4 linked regions of the Mus musculus genome follow. The protein of the gene in region 2 purifies or fractionates together with the protein of the main gene of each other region. This does not show direct contact. Links are inferred from orthologs where the notes say so. Each region holds a gene or a part of one and is shown on either strand. Other genes may lie near its edges.

Evidence for each region.
Region 1: the proteins of Cpsf6 (region 2) and Ncbp3 purify together in Homo sapiens (co-immunoprecipitation; 3 studies listed by BioGRID and IntAct, with this or other methods). This does not show direct contact. The link is inferred for Mus musculus from reciprocal best matches to the Homo sapiens genes CPSF6 and NCBP3.
Region 3: the proteins of Cpsf6 (region 2) and Wwp2 purify together in Homo sapiens (affinity purification with mass spectrometry; 3 studies listed by BioGRID and IntAct, counting the BioPlex papers as one, with this or other methods). This does not show direct contact. The link is inferred for Mus musculus from reciprocal best matches to the Homo sapiens genes CPSF6 and WWP2.
Region 4: the proteins of Cpsf6 (region 2) and U2af2 fractionate together in Homo sapiens (co-fractionation; 3 studies listed by BioGRID, with this or other methods). This does not show direct contact. The link is inferred for Mus musculus from reciprocal best matches to the Homo sapiens genes CPSF6 and U2AF2.

The regions. Positions count from the first base shown.
Region 1 is NC_000077.6:73,075,062-73,079,456, reverse strand, and holds part of Ncbp3 (nuclear cap-binding protein subunit 3), read right to left. Parts: intron 3,843-4,395; coding exon 3,688-3,842; intron 1,603-3,687; coding exon 1,441-1,602; intron 517-1,440; coding exon 281-516; 3' UTR 1-280. UniProt on the Homo sapiens protein: Associates with NCBP1/CBP80 to form an alternative cap-binding complex (CBC) which plays a key role in mRNA export. NCBP3 serves as adapter protein linking the capped RNAs (m7GpppG-capped RNA) to NCBP1/CBP80.
Region 2 is NC_000076.6:117,373,860-117,378,710, forward strand, and holds the start of Cpsf6 (cleavage and polyadenylation specificity factor subunit 6), read right to left. Parts: upstream 3,115-4,851; 5' UTR 3,040-3,114; coding exon 2,980-3,039; intron 1-2,979. UniProt on the Homo sapiens protein: Component of the cleavage factor Im (CFIm) complex that functions as an activator of the pre-mRNA 3'-end cleavage and polyadenylation processing required for the maturation of pre-mRNA into functional mRNAs.
Region 3 is NC_000074.6:107,550,864-107,555,258, reverse strand, and holds part of Wwp2 (NEDD4-like E3 ubiquitin-protein ligase WWP2), read right to left. Parts: intron 4,016-4,395; exon of another isoform or gene 3,946-4,015; intron 2,983-3,945; coding exon 2,823-2,982; intron 1,291-2,822; coding exon 1,157-1,290; intron 827-1,156; coding exon 686-826; intron 279-685; coding exon 158-278; intron 1-157. UniProt on the Homo sapiens protein: E3 ubiquitin-protein ligase which accepts ubiquitin from an E2 ubiquitin-conjugating enzyme in the form of a thioester and then directly transfers the ubiquitin to targeted substrates.
Region 4 is NC_000073.6:5,068,255-5,072,649, forward strand, and holds part of U2af2 (splicing factor U2AF 65 kDa subunit), read left to right. Parts: intron 1-478; exon of another isoform or gene 479-538; intron 539-1,189; coding exon 1,190-1,306; intron 1,307-2,107; coding exon 2,108-2,246; intron 2,247-4,395. UniProt on the Homo sapiens protein: Plays a role in pre-mRNA splicing and 3'-end processing. By recruiting PRPF19 and the PRP19C/Prp19 complex/NTC/Nineteen complex to the RNA polymerase II C-terminal domain (CTD), and thereby pre-mRNA, may couple transcription to splicing.

The sequences.
Region 1 (4,395 bases), on a different chromosome or scaffold from region 2:
AAAATGTCTACAAAATCTGGAGGGTTGCCTTTAACTCCAAGGGTAAAGCTTGTGGGGTGGTGGGGAAGACTTGAGGACCCAGAACTGTAACTCTGCAGCACAAGACAGAGACACCCTTCCTTCAAAACTCATCACACTCTTAAGCTGTCCTACTAGGACAGCAAGTGTTCAGGGTGCAGGTAGGAGGAAAGGGCGCCAGCTCCTGCAAGGGAGGTTCCCACTGCACGCCCCACCTTATGTAAGAATGTCAGATTTAAGGGCAGTTGCCAAGGCCAGGGCATCAGGACTCTGCCTCTGAACCAGAGCTACTTTCCCGGCTGACTTCAATCTGGAGCGAAGGCAAGCTATCCAGCCGACTCTTCTTCTGGCGAGACTCTTCTTTCTCCTTGATCAGAGCACCCCATGCTCTCTGAAGCTCCGAGTCATCTTCCTCAGCACCAGATGCCCTGTGATCCACTTTCTTCGTGTTCTTTTCTTTGGTCTTGGGTGTAGATCCTAAGCGAGTCCACAAACCACCTGTTGGGGTGAGAAGACACTTCAGTTGGCAGTCGATGCCGAGTACCAAGTAGTTCTGTGGAAGTAAGGACACTGCCAACACCTGCTCTGCAGGAAACATCGGGAGAGGTGCTTGGTGCCAGTCTGTAAGTGGACAGCCTGAGACTCGATGGGAGATGCTCACAGCTCAAGGCTGGTGTCCCCATACCAGGCACAAACTAGACACTTGCCTCTCTCCCAGGCTGTGTACCCCTCAGTCTGCCAAGAAACCGCCAACTCTCACATTCTGCAAACTGAACGGGTCTGTTTTACTATGAGCAATTCTCAGGTTTTCAGCTATACATTTTTAAAGTGTGTTTATGTATTGGCTGAAGGCCTTATTGGTTAAGCGTACTTGTTCTTGCAGAGGACCTGGTTATGTTTCCAACACCCACATGGTACCTTACAACAGTCCATAACTCCACTTCCAGGGGATCCAATGCCCTCTTCCCACCTCCAAGGGCACCAGACATGTACACAGTACACAGACAAACATGTAAGCAAAACATAAAAAAAATCCCCCAAAAGAAGTGTTTTATTAAAACCTTACAAAGAAGCATGTGTTTAGAATGTGGTGATATACATATACTACAAGATAATTAAAGGTTTAATTTACTTATGAAGAGTAAAGCAAAATGGAAGAGTTATAGAAAAAAAGGCTACATAAAAAAAAACTAGATATATGTGTGAACAAAGAAACTAAATAATGTGAAACTAAAAAGCAGCAAGGATGTATAGCTTCTCCTTTCTCCTTCCTGAACTTTCCTGTAGGCATGGTGCTGATGCTGATGTAGACAAAGGAAGTCATGCTAACTGAAGAGGGAACAAACACAGACCTACCTACTTCTTATGCTATAACCACTGGTCTCCACTCCTTCCCTTCCATCACTGTGAAGTGTTACTCACCTGATTTCCTCTCCCGAGTATCAGAGTAGAGGCCTTTAACATCTTGCCTGGGAACACCTAGCCTACTATGTACATCTGAAGAGGGCTCTCTCCGAACCACCTGGTTACTACTAAAAGCCTTCTCTGGAGAATACGGTCTTTTTCCTAACCGCTGGCGAATATCTGCCAAAAGAGAAAAAGTATACCTGTTACCAAGCATACGTGTTTTACCTCAGTACCAATGAACTAGGCTTTTGTCTTAGCCATGGCTGCCACTGCTGTGACAAAATACCACGATCAAAAGCAACCTGGGGAGGAAAGGTTTATTTCACTCACTCTCTATATAACAACTCATCAAAAGCAGTGAGGGCAGAAGCTCACAGAGCAGGAACCTGGAGGCAGGAGCTGATGCACAGCCACAGAGGAGTGCCGCTTACTGGCTTGCTTCTCGAATTTGCTCAGCCCGCTTCCTTATTCCTGGACCAACAGTGCAGGGGAGGTACTGCCCACAGTGTCTGAGCCCTCCCTCCCACAGTAATCGGCAATCAGGAAAATGCACCATAGGCTTCTCTACAAACTAATCCGGCAGGGGCATTTTCTCAGTTAAGGTTCCCTCCTCCATAACTCTTAAGCTGATTAAAAAAAAAAAAAGTCTGGCCAGCCACCAGATGGTGATGGTAAATGTCTTTAATCCCAGACCTCAAGAGGCAGAGGCACCAACCAAACAAACTAATCAGTACAGCTCTCTAGAGACCTGATCCCAAATCTCCCATAGTGAAGGCACAGCACCCAGCATCAGAAGGCTTCTAGAAGCCGGTTGGTTCTGTTCATAACTGGTCTTGCTTCTCTTAAGAAAACTTAAAACTTGGATGTAGGGGCTACCAGCTGAGTGCCTGAAGCAGTCTTCTTCTTTTTCTTCTTTTTTTCTTTTTTGCCAGAATCAAGCAAAACTAAGTAACACATCACATTTTCCAGCTAACAATACTGCAAGCCACAATCCTTGAAAACACAAGTAGTTCTCAATAAACTTACTACATTTAACCAACAAGTGTAATGAGACTGGCAACAGGCCAAGGATAAAGGAGCTGTGTCCTAAATTAAGTGTGCTCTCTTCCAAGTCCGTCACAGAGCCGCTGGGCCTGAGGTTTCCCCTAACACGCAGCAGCGACAGCAGCCACATGTTCATCAGCCTTGAGCCTACTCTTGACTTCTCAAGTAAACTCCTCACAAGAGCTCAGGCTGAGCCTCTTCAGTTGCTTCTCTTCCATCCTCCTCCTTCCCAGGGTTCCATTCTCACCCCTTCTGACGTCATTGTCCCTAAAAAGTTTAGCCCTTTTTACTTTGTCTTCTATGCCCACTATATTCTAATCCTTCAAAATCACCTCTTAAAATAAGAATCATATTATTTCCTCCCTCCAAAGATAGTTTGTCAGCTGTGTCCTAGTCCTCCCAAGACTACACTCTAAAGCTGCTTTCTTCAAAAACCGGCTCGAATCGTCTCAGCAGCTCTGTGGCAGCTGTTGCAGCCTCCCCAAAGACTTGCACATGCCAGCCCTAGCCATAAGCACACGCTTATATTGCTTCATTAGGGTTTGCTCACATATACACTCTAGTTCACACTCAACCATGTTTCTAACCACCCAACTTTATTGGTTTGGGGTATAAAATATCCCAGGGAAGTAATATTACTTATTTATTATTATTTAGTATTTATTTATTATTTCAAACAAAAAATACTGAAAAGTAGTTTTGTTGCAAAATCCGACTTTATTTATTTTCTCATGGACGCCTAACTAAAGATGTAGGTACAAGAAGAGGAACAGTTAATTGAGTTCAGAAGAACCTACCCTGGGCCCATCTGCTCTCAGGTGCTCACAAGCATCAGGATTAACTCTGAGGGGAAAGTATAGTGGCAGTTAGAAGCCAATGAATACCACAAAGTCACCCTGCACAACAAATCTCTCACCATACATTTATTGGGAAGGATACAGGAGGGTGGCTACCTCTGCTTGAGAGCAAAGAACTGAGCAGGACCCAGACTTTATATAGGTTTCCTTGGTGGTAGTGGTGGGATACTTTCCAGGGTGGCCTGGGATTTGTGGGATTTTGCTGCCAGATCTTGGACTTTTTCTTTCCTCTACAGGGCAGAGAGCTTGGCCACTTGCATACTGAGGGGCTGGAAACGTTAGAGTAATCTGGGATGGAACCAAGCCACTCAAGGGGCTTACAAAAAGGGAGTCAGGAGCACAAAAGAGGGAAGAACAATACCTGGTTTAGTACTGCTGACTGCTGGCCGTGGACAGGAATGCTGCCTCTTTTCATCTAAGAGATGACGGACATCTGCAAATTTCTCAGGAGGCAATTTGTTACCAATTCGGTTTTTTATATTGCTTGTGGATATACTATCTGCCCTCATGGGATTCCTTTAAGGGGGGGAAAAAGCAGAGAGATCATAAGTAACCAACTTCAACTGCGAGGAAAGATGCAAAAAAGTCTCCTACTTCAGAAAAACTCAGTTTAAGATGACCGTCACTGACTTACAACTACCACTGTAATAGCTCACTACGATCAACATGCTATGAAAAGATGGTGACCATTAACTAGACTGCAGACTTAGACAGGGTGGTTTCCACATGATGCCTGTACACTTTATCATAGAACACATAACTGATGCTCCCTTCACCAAGGGTAAGCAAACATTAAGCAGACAGCTGCAAAGAGGCTGAAACTCTGCTCACACAGGTACAGATGAGACCCTCCTCATGGGAGAGAGCATTACTCTGCTAGAATTCTTTCTTAGTTCTATAAAAACTAAGCACAGACATGTGAACAAAGCCATAAAGGCCTGCAGTCTCAGCGACCTGGACACTAAGGCAGGCTGCAGGCTGCTCACAACTTCACATGCTGGATATGTTACTCAGCACATTTAAATCCAGCATACTTGGTTTAGTGAGACCCTGCCTCAAATTTTCAAGT
Region 2 (4,851 bases):
TTCAGAGCACTCACATTTAACTCCTAGCACTTATGTGGTTGATCACAGGCCTCATAACTCTCGTTCCAGGAAGTCTGACTCCCTTTTCTGGATTCCTTGGGCACCAGGCACCCACCTAGTGAAGACATTCATGCAGGAAAAAAGACTCATACAGGTTTTTTAAAAAAGAAGACAGACAGGGCTGGTGAGATGGCTTCAGTGGTTAAGAGCACTGACTTCTTTTCCAAAGGTACTGAGTTCAAATCCCAGCAACCACATGGTGGCTCACGGCCACCCATAATGAGATCTGATGCCCTCTTCTGGTGTGTTTGAAGACAGCTACGGTGAACTTATAATAATAAATAAATATTTGGGCCGGAGCTAGTGGGGTTGGCCAGAGCAAGCAGAGGTCCTAAATTCAATTCCCAACGATCACATAAAGGCTCACAACCATCTGTATGTACTCATATACATAAAATAAATCTTTTAAAAAATGTTTGTTAAAAAAAAAAGAAGACAGAGAAAGAAAGAAAAAGTAAATAATAATACAAAACTTAACTTTTATAAATGTTTAAAACTCAAAATAATTTAAAACATCTAATGATCAGTTCTGAAAAATATTTTGCTCAACTACAGTCAAATAATCACACTGGTTACTATAGCAGCGAGTAGAAATAAGGTTACCATCTATTAAGAGAGACCAGATTACTAGGGATGTTGCAGAGGAGTAAAGTGCCTAGCATGTGCAAAGACCTGAGTGCAAACTCCCAACGGTAAGGGTAAGGAGGGAAAAAGGAGCCAGACACAGGCTACAATCCAAGCACTGGGGAGGGGGAGGCAGCAGGTGGTGCAATCATAAATTAAAAAAAAAAAAAAAAAGTAAACCTGGGATACACAATAAGTTCTAAGTCAACAAAGCTACAAGACTGGGGGACTAGGGGGGGACCCAAAAACAAAACCTAACAAAAAGGAGGGAGGGAGGGAGGGAGGGAGGGAGGGAGGGAGGGACCAGAAAATTAAATCAATAAATAATTTTGTTGTTGCTTTTAATTCTGGTAGAATCTCAGAATGATAGGGTAATCAATGACAGTAACACAGAAAATATAACAAATCTTAAGATAACTGGCAACCTTTCTGTGGCTACTTTTCTTGTTCAAAATTCAGAGCAAGCAAATCATAAAAGTCAATTATACGAAGAAAACAGTAACAAGTAATGCCTCCGGAGCGAGGCTATAGCTCAGGGTCGAATGCTTAGCCAGATGTGCAAAGCCCTGGGTTCATTCAGTATCCAGAGCTGCAAACAAGGTATTTTGGGAAAAGTTACTTAAATCTCCCAATTAATCTACTTAAACCTACAAAGATTTTACTTGTAAAAGTACACAACCACGTATTAGATACAATGCTAAAAGTACCAAGTCAACGAAAAGCTACAGTTATAAAAAAGAGGCCTACAAAGTAGTTCCTCGTTGAGGTCAAAAAAGTTTAACCTCTCCAGGCACTCGGAAGGCAGAGGCAGAGGCAGAGGCAGGCGGATCTCTCTGAGTTCGAGGCCAGCCTCGACTACAGAATGAGTTCCAGAACAGCCAGGGCTACACAGAGAAACTCTGTCAGCAGTAATTAAAATCCTACGACAATTTGCTTTTCTTTTCTAACATTTAAGCCAAAAGCACAGTCATTCTTGAAAAACGAAGCAGTAAGGATTTAAGAGTTTTCACTGTTTCGTTCAAGTCTTATATCCCTAGTCATAAACAATGGAGGGAAAACGCCATACAAACCAATGGCATTTTATTCAGGTTCTCATCCGTACCTTAGAATTTTTTAATATGGTGGGGTGTAAATTTGAAAACCGTGAATATAGGAAATGCACTAAAAAAAAAAAAATATTTAGAGGGCAGTAAGAGGCTAGACGATCCAAACCCTGGCAAGCAGACCCTTCCAAGGATATTTATTCATCATGAGACGCTGGTTCTAGGCATCCCAGGCGGGTGAGACCGGAAAACCTTACACGTCTCACTTTCTCCAGCCTTTCAAACCGTGAAGTCGAGCCCACAGGGCAAACACTTCGCTTTCAAACTACAGTCACGTTCACAACGACTTGTCAGGCACGCTACCCAGGATTCCGATTCCGAGTGGCCGGTCTCCCTTTCAGTCTCTCCGGTCTGTTAAGCTAGGATACCACCATCTTTTTTGTTCTGTCCAGCCACCGCGCTCCCAAGTCTTTGGCGCAAGCCATTTATCCTCTCCGATATTTCGCTTCACAAAGGCCAAGGACTGGGCCTCGGAGGCACTGCAAACCCTCGATGACCAAGGCGGGCCGACGCACCGACTTTTAAATGCGATCGGTGGCTCCAAAAGTCAGATGACTTGTTGCGGATGGAACCAAACCTAAGCAGCCTTCCCTTAAGGGGACCGGCGAGCAAGGAACCGGGCGCCACGCCGAAACCCGTCGCAAAGGCGAGCGGGAGCCCAGGGAGAGCGGGCGCGCGGGATACAAAGGGCTGTGAACGCGGCCTTCCATGAGGCGACCGTGCGCGGACAGAGACACAAAATGGAGCGGCGGGAGGAGGAATCGGAACCCGAGGCGGCAGGGCCGGGATGGAGGCGGCGGGCGAGCGCGCGGCCGGGCCAGGGCTTCCCCTCTGGCCGGCCGCGGGGGAGGGGGCGCGGCGGCCCGTTCTCCCCGCCCCGCACACGCGGCCTAGCTCGGCGGGAAGCGCCCGCCACCGAGCCAACAATGGAGCGGGAGACCGTCCGGAGGAACCGGGCGGGCGGCTGCAGGGCGACCGGGCCCCGCGCTCCAGAGCCCCGCGGCCCGCAAAACGACGCGCGAGAACAAGGGCTGAGGGGCCGTCGCGCACGGCGGCGCGGCCCGGAGGCGCCAAGGGCGCACGGTCTGCAGCGAAGCCGGCTCGCGGCCCGCGGCGGCCCTGGTCAGCCGGGCGTCCGGGCCGCGGCACAGTCTGCGGCGGCGGCGGCGGCGGAGCCCGGACCCTCACGTACCTGGTTGAACTCTTCACCCACATCCGCGTAAATGTCTATGTGGTCCACACCGTCCGCCATCTTCCCTCGGCCTCGGCCGCCGCCGCCGCCGCCTCCTGCAGGTCGGCCCGCCGAGGCAGCAGCAGCGGATCTGGCGGTGGGGGCGGGGCGCCCTACGTCACTTCCGAGGGGCGGAGACCAGGGCGCAGCGGCCCGCTGCTGGTGACGGGGGACCCCGCCGAAGGTCCGCGGCGGTTCCGAGGCGCTAACTCGTTCCTTTGTGTGCAGGATTAAGCCGCGGCTGGGGCAGGGGCGTGATTTCCTGTGCTACCCCGCCATACCGCATGCCATGGAACCCGCTTGTTTTCAGAGACTGTCTTTTCAAACTGCTTCTGGCACTATTTATCTATCTACATATCTATAGATGAGAGATCTATCTAGTGAGAGATATAGATATATATACATCTATATAGAGAGAGATAGATATTTATATATTTGCGTTTTCATTTTTTTCCTACTTTTTTTTTTTTTTTTTGCTTCCAAGGTTTCGAGAGATGAGAGTTATGTGTACGCAATTAAAAGCGAGATATGATGTCCTGGCCAATGTCTTATTCTTGCTTCTTCAGACAACTGAATTTTTTGAGTTATTTGCATATAGCATATTTGCATCTCTTATCTTTATGCAGTTGTAAGCATCTTTTCCGCTCCTTCCTTCACATCCTCCTCTTCCCCCTTCCTCCCCCATTGCCCTTGCTTTTACCTTTTTATCTCTGTTGTAGGTTTTCTCCAGCCATCGTTCAAAGGATTCTATCCTCATTTTTAGAGCACGTACAACAGAGCAGATGTATCCTAAATCAACGAACTCCTGGATTCAGAATGCTGAGCTAGAAGGGAAATTAAAACGGTGGCTTGAGGTCCAAACATCCCGTTTTACAGATGAGAGAACTAAGGACTCGTAGAGCATAAGTTATTTAACTGGGGTTACATGGCTCGTAAAAGTGCACACCTTTTGACGCCGATATATGATTCAGAGATCTCTCTCCATTTCCAACGGCTCCACCTATTTCTTTCCTTCCCGTTCAAAAACTCACCAGGTCACTCAGCTGCCTGTGTGCTTGATATAAATTCAGTTCCCACAGCGCTCTCAAGGAGCGTAGAGAGAACCGAACCAAATCCTCTTAAGTAGTCCTCTGATCTACTCAGCACCTCTGACTGCTCTCACTTCCAGCCCCACCCTGCCAAACAAATTAACAAAAAAGCAAAACAATAACCAAAATAATAATAATAACAAAAATACCAGATGCAGACTGGTCTGAAATCATCAAAAACCTAAAGAAACATCTATGCTTGAGATGTCTGTAAAATCTTGGTTGCAGTCACAGAGACTAATCTCTTAATCTGAATAAACATTTCTTTAAATTCCTTTTTTATACATCGGGGTGTTTTGCCTGCATACAGTCTGTGTACTACACATGTGTGCAGTGTCCTGGGAGCGCGCAAAAAAGGACATCAGTCGACTAAGACTGGTATTAGACAGGTTTATGAACCACTACATGGGTGCTGGGAATCAGACCCTGACCCCGGAAGAGAATCCAGCGCTATTGACCACGGTACAAACGGGACTTAACGATGGCCACCGCTGTTGAAAAATCCTAGACTCTAAATTTTGTTTACTTAGAGGTCAAATGCATGCGGGGCAATGATGGCCCACGCCTTTAATCCCAGCACTTGGGAGGCAGAGGCAGGCAGATTTCTGAGTTCGAGGCCAGCCTGGTCTACAGCGTGAGTTCCAGATCAAGGGCCACAAAGAGAAACCCTGTCTCAGGGAAAGGAAAAAAAAAAAAAAGTCAAATGAATGCTGAGTAGCGGTGGTCCCAGGGCTACACAGAGAAA
Region 3 (4,395 bases), on a different chromosome or scaffold from region 2:
GGAAATTTGGGCTGAGGACCCAGGTAACAGTTCCCATCCTGCTGCATTTAGCTTGCCAAAATGTGGGACTTGGTGTGCGAGTTCTGTAGGTATGTATCGTGGAGCTGGGGCACCCTAGAAGCACTGAGGTCAAGGACTCCCAATCTTTGGCACCCACCTCCAGCTCTTTCTCATCAAAATATCTCAACCACTCCAGAGGGGCAACCTCATTGAAGCCATCCAGGAAAGCTTTGGTCTGCTCTTCCACGCCTCGGGTGAATCGCCAGTCAGTCAGCAGCCTAAAACCAAAGATGGAGCCCGGGACATCATGCCTTTTAACTGCTGGACCTCAGACACCCAGGTAAGGTTTAATGGACTAGACCAAGAGGCCTAAAGAACCTGAGTGGGGTGGGGGTTATACATCAGCATTAGAGAGCCCGAAGGCTGAAACACACTGGACAAAAAGAGGTCAGGAGAGATGGCAGCATCCAGGCCTTGTATTTCTTTACAAAGTTCCCTGGAGCTGGGAAGCCTCTTGAATGCAGGAGCCCACCCCAGAGCTGGCACCCAAGGCCAGAGGCTCCACATCCCATAGCTCCAGTCATTACGGACCAACCAAGGCAGACAGGCCACACACTGTACACACACAAGGGTAGATAGATTCCTTTCCTCTGTAACATGCTCCCTTCCCCAGGTGGAGGCTCACATGATATACTCCTCCTTGTTCTCCTCGGTAACTCGGATGTTCTCACCGCCCTCCTTCAGTTCATGGGTTGTCACCTTGCCCAGAATCTCCATGTCCTGGATGAAAAACAGCTCCAGACCACACTCTTCCAGGTTGTTCTCTCTAGGACACAGGAGGCCAGGGGGAAATGTCCATCTTACCAAGGTCTGTCTTGACTGGCCTGACTTCTCACTGCCCCCTCCAACCCCCCCCCCGCCCCGCCCCGAGAGACACTAGGAACTCACAGGTGACCAGGAACCCTGACCTGTGCCTCGGCACATTTTCTGCTGCAGGGAGAGAATTGTAGATCTGTCTGTCCTACAGGGCAACTAGAAGCTCTATAGGCCTTAGAGAGGCTATGAGGCTATGTAGGTACCTAGGAAACCAAGGCCAGGGGTGCCAACTGGCCCATGAGAACCCTGCTCCATCAGCACAGGGCAAGCCAGGACTCACTTGATCCAGACAATGGAGTTGTAAAACTCAGGGTCAATAGACTCCAGGTCCTTCAGAGTCGGTCTCTTGTTGAGCATCCGCTTGTAGAAAGGGAGAGTGAAGCCTGTGTCGATGAACTTCCCATGGTACAGAGCCTGGACAGGGAGGAGACGGAGCAAAGGGCTTGCTTCACCTTCCTGGGATGGCAGCAGAGGACGACTTAGGTGCGTTTCTGCTGACGGCTGCCCTCCTCCCTGACAGCCAGCTGGCCTAGCTAAAGGGAGGCCTGGGAAACAGCACTTTCTACTTTTCTTTTTCTTTTTTTTTTTTTTTTTTTTTTTTTTTTTTTTTTTAAGATTTATTTATTTATTATATGTAAGTACATTGTAGCTGTCTTCAGACACACCAGAAGAGGGAGTCAGATCTCGTTACGGATGGTTGTGAGCCACCATGTGGTTGCTGGGATTTGAACTCTGGACCTTCGGAAGAGCAGTCGGGTGCTCTAACCCACTGAGCCATCTCACCAGCCCTACTTTTCTTTTTCTTTTTCTTTCTTTTTCTTTTTTTTTTTTCTTTTTACTTTTTTAAAACTTGGACACAGGGACAGATTCATCCCACACCAAAAACCACAGGGAAGGGCAATGTCGGCCCACTGTCTGCCTAGCACACCAGCCAGGCCACTCCTGCTTCTAGCAAAGGCCTATCCCCATTTCCAGAGAAAACTTGTTCATAACAGCTCCAGGTGGCAGCCCTGGCTCTCTGGCACTCTGAGAGGGTGGCACAAGGGGCCAAAAATAATGCAGACACTGAGGCTGGCGCTAGCTGGCCGCCGGCAGTGAGTAACAGTCTGGGACTTTCACTGTTCTGTCCTTGCTGGATGCTAGGCCAGGTAGGTCTCAGACCCAGGAAGAATGTGCCCACTTCTGGAGCCATTGCAAGCACTTAGTCAAGACCTTTCAGATGACAGGAATGGCCATATTTAGTGACAGAGCTGTAGGTCCCTTAGCAATCCAGAGACGGAAGTGTGAGAAAACTTGGGACCTCGACTTAGAAAAGCTGGCACTGGAGCACAGTAGGACCACAGCTTCGCAGGCTCCCTGCTCATGTGGATCAAAGAGGACACGGCAGGACTGCCTCGCTGCCGACTGATCGGTTGAGCCTATATTTCTAGATGACTCCCCTGGCTCTGCACCAGCCAGTTCACTGTGGCTCTCATCTAAGCCCATGCCGATCCCTCTCTCTCTCTCTCTCTCTCTCTTGAGAAGGCCCAGGGTCTCAGTCAGACATCCCCAAAGGTTCCTTCCCTATGGTAGGGCTTTGCTTGGCCCAGTCCCATCTTTTAAGTCCCTATAGACTCAGGTGAAGTCCCTGAGCTTCTATGCAGTAAGTTCTACACAAAATGAGAAATGCTGTGATAGCCCTAGGCAGCCACTGTGAAATCTCTCACTCCTCCACAGCCAGCTAGCTTGGGGTTTTGTTTTGTTTTGTTTTAATTTCCAGGTTAGGAATTATGTGAGGAAGAGAAGAGTCACAGTGAGTCCTGGTCAGGGGGCAGGACCCTGGTCCACGAGGGCTGCTGTTCATGTCACTGCCGACTAGACTGTGACTAGAGCCAGCCTCCTCTGGGGCTGCCCTTCCCAAGGTCTCAAAAGAGGAAGAGAAGAAGGGAGGCATCCCTGGGGGTTACCATGGCGATGAATCTGCCGATAAAGCGGAAGTAGGTGAGGTGGTCAGGGTTGATGGAAGAGGCCGGGTTGATCTGCAGGCAGTAATTGTTCTTCCCAGCATATTCAAACAAACAGTACATAGGGTTGAGCACCTCATGGGACAGGAGGAAAAACCACTCTCTGTGAGGGAAGAGAGGACAGGACAATGGGACCCTCTGCACAGCAGCTGGGGTTCTGCTGGGTCAGAGCACCTGAATGCACGTGCCTGGGGGGATCAGTGAGCCAGCTCATCCCAGGTCTTGGGTGAAGAGGACAGCACCTGAAGTTTGTGCTCAGGAAAGCCCGTGTGTGTGCCTCTCAGCCCCCTGGGCACAGTTATGCTACAATATCTAGAGCACTGGATGGCAAAGCGGCTCCTCACCCCCAGGGCCACCATGCCTCACTGTGCGGGCTGTGCACCATATACAAAGGTAACATTTTAAAGCACTGTGGGCTGTGCTGGCACGGAGGCTCGGCAGGTAAAGGCTCTTGCTTCCAAGCCTGACAACCAAGTGTAATCCCTAGAACCCACTTGGCATACGATGAGAACTGAATCCTGGGAGTTGTCCTCTGACCGCCACACATGGTATACGATCCATGAGAACCCCTAAACACCTATGCCCCCAAATAAATAAATAAATAGATAAATAAATGTACTACAACAACATTTCTGCTCTATGACAGTAAGCGCCCCGCTCCACCCCATTTGGTATGCAGTGCAATGTAAAGAATACACAGTAGCATTTTCCCAAAAGCTGAACCTTGAAAGTTCTGTGACTCATTTGGCCTCTAGACACCTCATCCCTTCAGGGTACCCCATAGGTACCTCACTTGTAGGTTTCCCTCCCTTCACCCTAGAACCCATTAGCATACCCTAACCCAGATTTGGATCCATTTATCTCAACCAACACCCACCCAATAGACGCCTTAGCATCTATCTGCACCCTACATATAAGCCTCAAGCCAGAATTCAGGGTCCTTCAGAGCTTGAGCTAAACAATTGGGGAACAATCGGGGAATCGTAGTCAAGGGGGGCCAGCCCCTGGCTGCTGGGCTTTGTGGCTGTGTAGATGGAGTCCTTCGATGCAGAGGGTGCTCCAGTACCCTGTCCGTGGTTCTACCCTGTGGTAGAACAGCATGACGTAACCTACCATAGGGTAAAACCACTGGCAGGACACAGAGAGAGACACACAGGGCGGGAGCCACACCAGATGCCCACCAAGCACAGCCTGGAGAGGTCACACCGAAAACAGAACAACTCATCTGCAGGATGGGATGAACACAGAAGACTACACCACCAGCAAGCAGGGTCAACACAGAAGACTACACCACCAGCAAGCAGGGTCAGAGGCGGGGAGCCCAACTAAGTCAGATGACAGCCCCACACCACAAGGTCAGCAGGATGAGAGGTCACCACAGCCAAGAAGCCCCTTCCCACTGCTAGGACTCTCTGCCTGTTGTCCACGGCAATGCTTTTCCAAAGAGCCTGTTAACTTTTGTAGGGTGAAGGTAACACAGTGCTCTGGGTTCTTTTAGGGTTTATACCAACTGTTT
Region 4 (4,395 bases), on a different chromosome or scaffold from region 2:
TTCCCCAACCTGCACGCGTCAGACTCTGTTCCTGCAAGACCCCCCGGCCCCCTCCCAGACGGACGGATGGAGTTGAGCCAGCCAGGGGCCGGGCTGGGGGTGGCCCCTCCCTCCCTCCTCTTCCCCTCTCCCGTCTCCCTTTCCCCAACCTCCTCCAGCAACCCAGGGATCAAACACACACATAACGTACCCACCTACATATTGTACCTACGTGTTGGAGAGAGACAGAGAGGGAGACTCAACACACGTACAAACAGACGCACGCCCCTACAGTTTTCTGACATGCTCTCCTTTTCTGCCGTCTATCCACATCCTTTTCCCCACATCCCTCCCATGGTCGCTGTTCTTTTGTTTTTGGTAGTCCTGACCTCCCCCACCTTCCCCACCGCTCCTCTCCCCCATCCCTCTCCCCCACCCCTTCCCGTGGCACCCCCTGAGAATCCCGAGATCAAAGAGTTGTTTCCATTTCTCTTTAAAGTGAAATATTGTGGGGCTGAGATCCCTCGTAGCAACAAAAAGTTTGCTACCATCGTTGAAGGCAAGTAAGGTCCATTCTGACTTTCTCAACCTGCACTTTGCTACATTTGATAAACCAGCCCCCGGACTCCAGGGCCAGATCCCTCCACATCACTCTTTTCTCCTCCCCTCCCGCCCTACCCCTTCTTCCCCTGCTCCTCCACCCCTCCCCGCCCCTGCACTCTACTTGTTCTGCCTCTCTGGGCACCCTTCCTGTCCCTTTGCTTGTCTTTCTCTTCCTGCCTGTTGCTCTCCTACCCTTTCCTGCCTTGTTTGCAATGGGCATTTCTTCCTTGTGTCATCATGTTTTTTGTTTTTGTTTTTTTTTCCTCTTGCTGTCACATCCTTTCATCTTTTCTTGAATAACTTTTCCTAACTTTTTGGGCTCCATGGCTCATCCCTCATGCCTGTCCTCCTGTCTGGCCCATTTGCTCCCTGTCTCCTGTCCTTTGGTATTGCTTCTTCTCTGTTTTCTCATTTTCCTCCTGCATTTTTTCCTACTATTGACCTCTACACCCCTGACCCATATTCCACTGTCCCTTTCCCTCCCCGTTCTCCCTTCCCCCATTCCTCTCCCCTTACCCCCAAACCCCTCTGTGTCTCCCTCTCTCACCCTTCCCCTCCTCTCTCCACCTCCCTCCCCGCCCTTCCCTGTCTCCTATTCCCTCTGCAGGAGGCTATGATGGACTTCTTCAACGCCCAGATGCGCTTGGGAGGGTTGACTCAGGCCCCTGGCAACCCAGTCTTGGCTGTGCAGATAAATCAAGACAAGAATTTTGCCTTTTTGGAGGTGAGTTTTCCAGTGATAAGGGTAAGGGGTAGTAGGGATGGTCTGTGCTGCCTACTCTGACTGCTTTCCCTGCAGCTCATTTTCCATTTGGCTGCTGGAGTAGTTCTGTAGTCCTGTCCTACCTTATGCCTTCCTATGCTCTACCTCACTGGGAGGACTTTGTGGCTTCTTCCTGCTTTGTTGGTTTTTGAGACTATTCTGGCCCAGTCCACTCTGCTTAGGCTACATTGATCTTGCAGAGGGCTCGATGTTTCTCCCTATTTGGGGCCTAGGTTGAGGCAGTTTACTCTCGGTGTTTATACGTTACGTTTGGGCAGTTCGTTAGTTTGGAACTGTCTGTAAAGACCTAGCTCGACTCTGGGGTCATACTCCTAAAAACCGTGGGGTGTTGGCATGACCAAGGCTGCGGAAGAGGTTTTTCAGTGTTCCCTTTTCAGACTGCATTGCCCATAAGAGTCCACTTTGATTTGTACTCTTGGAGACTAATGTCACTTCATCAGAAAGCCTGGGCTGTCATTGCCACGTAACTTAGTTGACCTAACTTTTCTATGCTGGCTTCTCAGCAGTTGGTCCCTTTCCAACATTGTCAGAGTTTATGATAGTGTGCTTGCTATCTGCTGGGTGCGAGGATATTGCTTTCTAGAGTGTGAGCTTCTAGAAGCTATCTGGTAGTGCTTGTTCCCATTGTTCATTATGGGTTTGGTACTATGTTTGTTTATATAAGTGGGAGGAAAGTTAAGAGTCTTGGGGGCTGGTCTAGTCCCAACCTACCCCTTAGCTCTGTTGTTTCTCTTCCTTCAGTTCCGGTCAGTGGATGAGACGACCCAGGCCATGGCATTTGATGGCATCATCTTCCAGGGCCAGTCATTGAAGATTCGAAGGCCTCATGACTATCAGCCATTGCCTGGCATGTCAGAGAACCCCTCTGTTTATGTGCCTGGTGAGTGGGAATTCGTTGGGTGGGTGGTATGGGGAGTCACTGTTTCCTCAACCCAGGTTCCTGTACTTAGTCCAGCTAGAGTTGCTTTGGAGATAGTGTGTGTGCGCTGTGGATGTTCTTCTAGCTTGGCAGGTGTCCTGGGCCTTTGAGGTGGTGATCTGTGATCTTCAATCTTAAAGTTTAGCTTAGCTTGTAAATGTCAGAGCCAGGTCCAGATCAGAGGTGTCCTGGAAAGTGTGGGACTTGCAGTCTGGGCATTGTTTTTACCTTGTCCCCTTAGCCCTGGGATTTTAGGGCTTGATGTGTTGTGTATGCTATGTATTTGTAAGTACATATCAACAGATCTTTGCATGGTTCTGGTGTGTGGCCCTAGCATGTTAGTGTTCACTGATTCCATGTCTTTGGCATGTGTTCTGTACTGTTTCCTATAATTGTATATAGTATAACCTCTGATTGGTAGGTCACGATAGATCTTTACTGTTTAAGCTACAGACGGGGTCATTAGAAATTTGGATTTTTTGTGATCCCCCCCCCCCCCCCCCAATTCTGCACTAATCTTTCAGTGTTTAGCTGTAGTTTGCTGGCCTTTCCTTTGGCAGGTCAGGCGGGATGAGCTGGGATTTGCAGGCTGTATGACCCCTGCTGAGCTTCAGGAAACACTGGTGCTGGGGTCCAGCTGAGTCAGTGAGGCCCAGGTCTGAGGCTGATTGCAGTGAATGTGGGGTCCTCCGAGTAGATGCTCAGCATCAGAGGGTGCCCACTGGAACCAGGTCAAGTCACCCCTTCTCTATAGAGGAAGGAGCACATTTCTGGTAGTGTAGGACTTGGGGTTAGGGCCTGACTACCGAATGCTTTCTTACTGCAAGTTCTGGTCACATACCTGAGTCTAAAGCTAGCATGCTCTTGAAAGTATTGCTTGGAGAAGATTCACAGTGGTACTGGGGCTTGAACTCCAGTCCTTGTGCTTGTCAGGAAAGCACTTACTGTCTAACCTGAATCCCAAGCCCCTTTTTAAGTTCTCATTTTGAGGTAGGGTCTCACTAAGTTTGCCTAGACAGGCCTGGAACTTGGGGGCCTCCTTCCCCCAGCTGCATGGGTAGTTGGGATTATAGCCCTGTGCCACTAGGTCCTGCTTGCTTACTGACTTTCAGGTGAAGCTGTAGAACATCTTTTTTTTGTATCTCTTGGCACTAAATTCATTGTTTGGATTGCTCTTTAATTCCATGAATAGACAGCCACCTGCTGGTTTTACTGACACAGTGTGGCATGCCAGGTATTGCCTGTTCCTGAATCTTCTTTTAGCCTTCACTCAGCTAATTATGACTTGGAAGTCAGTTGTGACCCACTGCTTGGTTTTTTGTTGTTGTTGTTTGTTTTTCAAGACAGGGTTTCTCTGTGTAGCCCTTGCTGTCCTGGAACTCGATCTGTAGACCAGGCTGACCTCGAGCTCAGAAATGTCTCCCGAGTGCTGGGATTAAAGGTGTGCGCCACCACGCCTGGCCCACTGCTTGTTTTTACAAATAAATTTTGGCACAGTGTCATTCCTTTTATATTACTTTTATTACTGGTCTCATTGTGGTATTAGGAATTGAACTTAGAGCCTTGCATATGCTAAGCAGGTGGTTCGCCACATGGGGATACTCTCAGCCTTTTTACTAGTAGTTTGAGGCAGGCTTTCTCTGTGTTTCCCAGGGAGGCCTTGAACTTTGGATCTTCCTGCAGAGTTGGATTATAAGCTTGTACCAGCAGGCCTAGCTGTAGTTTTTTGACACATGGTATAACTGTATCTTAGACTGGCCTCTTAACTTGATTTTCTGCCCCCAGTATTGAGATCACAAGCATGTGCCACATCACATGTCGTGGATGGAATTGTCACTTTACAGAGGAGGAAAGCCAGGAGTGGTGAATAATAATAATTGTTCGTGATCACGAAATTCATAGGTTTTCTGGGCTGCACAGGTTGGCCTAGGAGTCCTAGCTCAGCTTTTCTCTGTACTCTTTCATGTTAAACTTTCTACTGAGAACATGTAGATAACAGGCATAGTTGCTTTGGGCCATGCTGTTAAGTGACGGGCCTCTTTCACAGGGAGTCTCTACATTGCTTCCATTAAACAATAGAAGGAAGATCAGTCCTGTGTTGTGTCTCTTT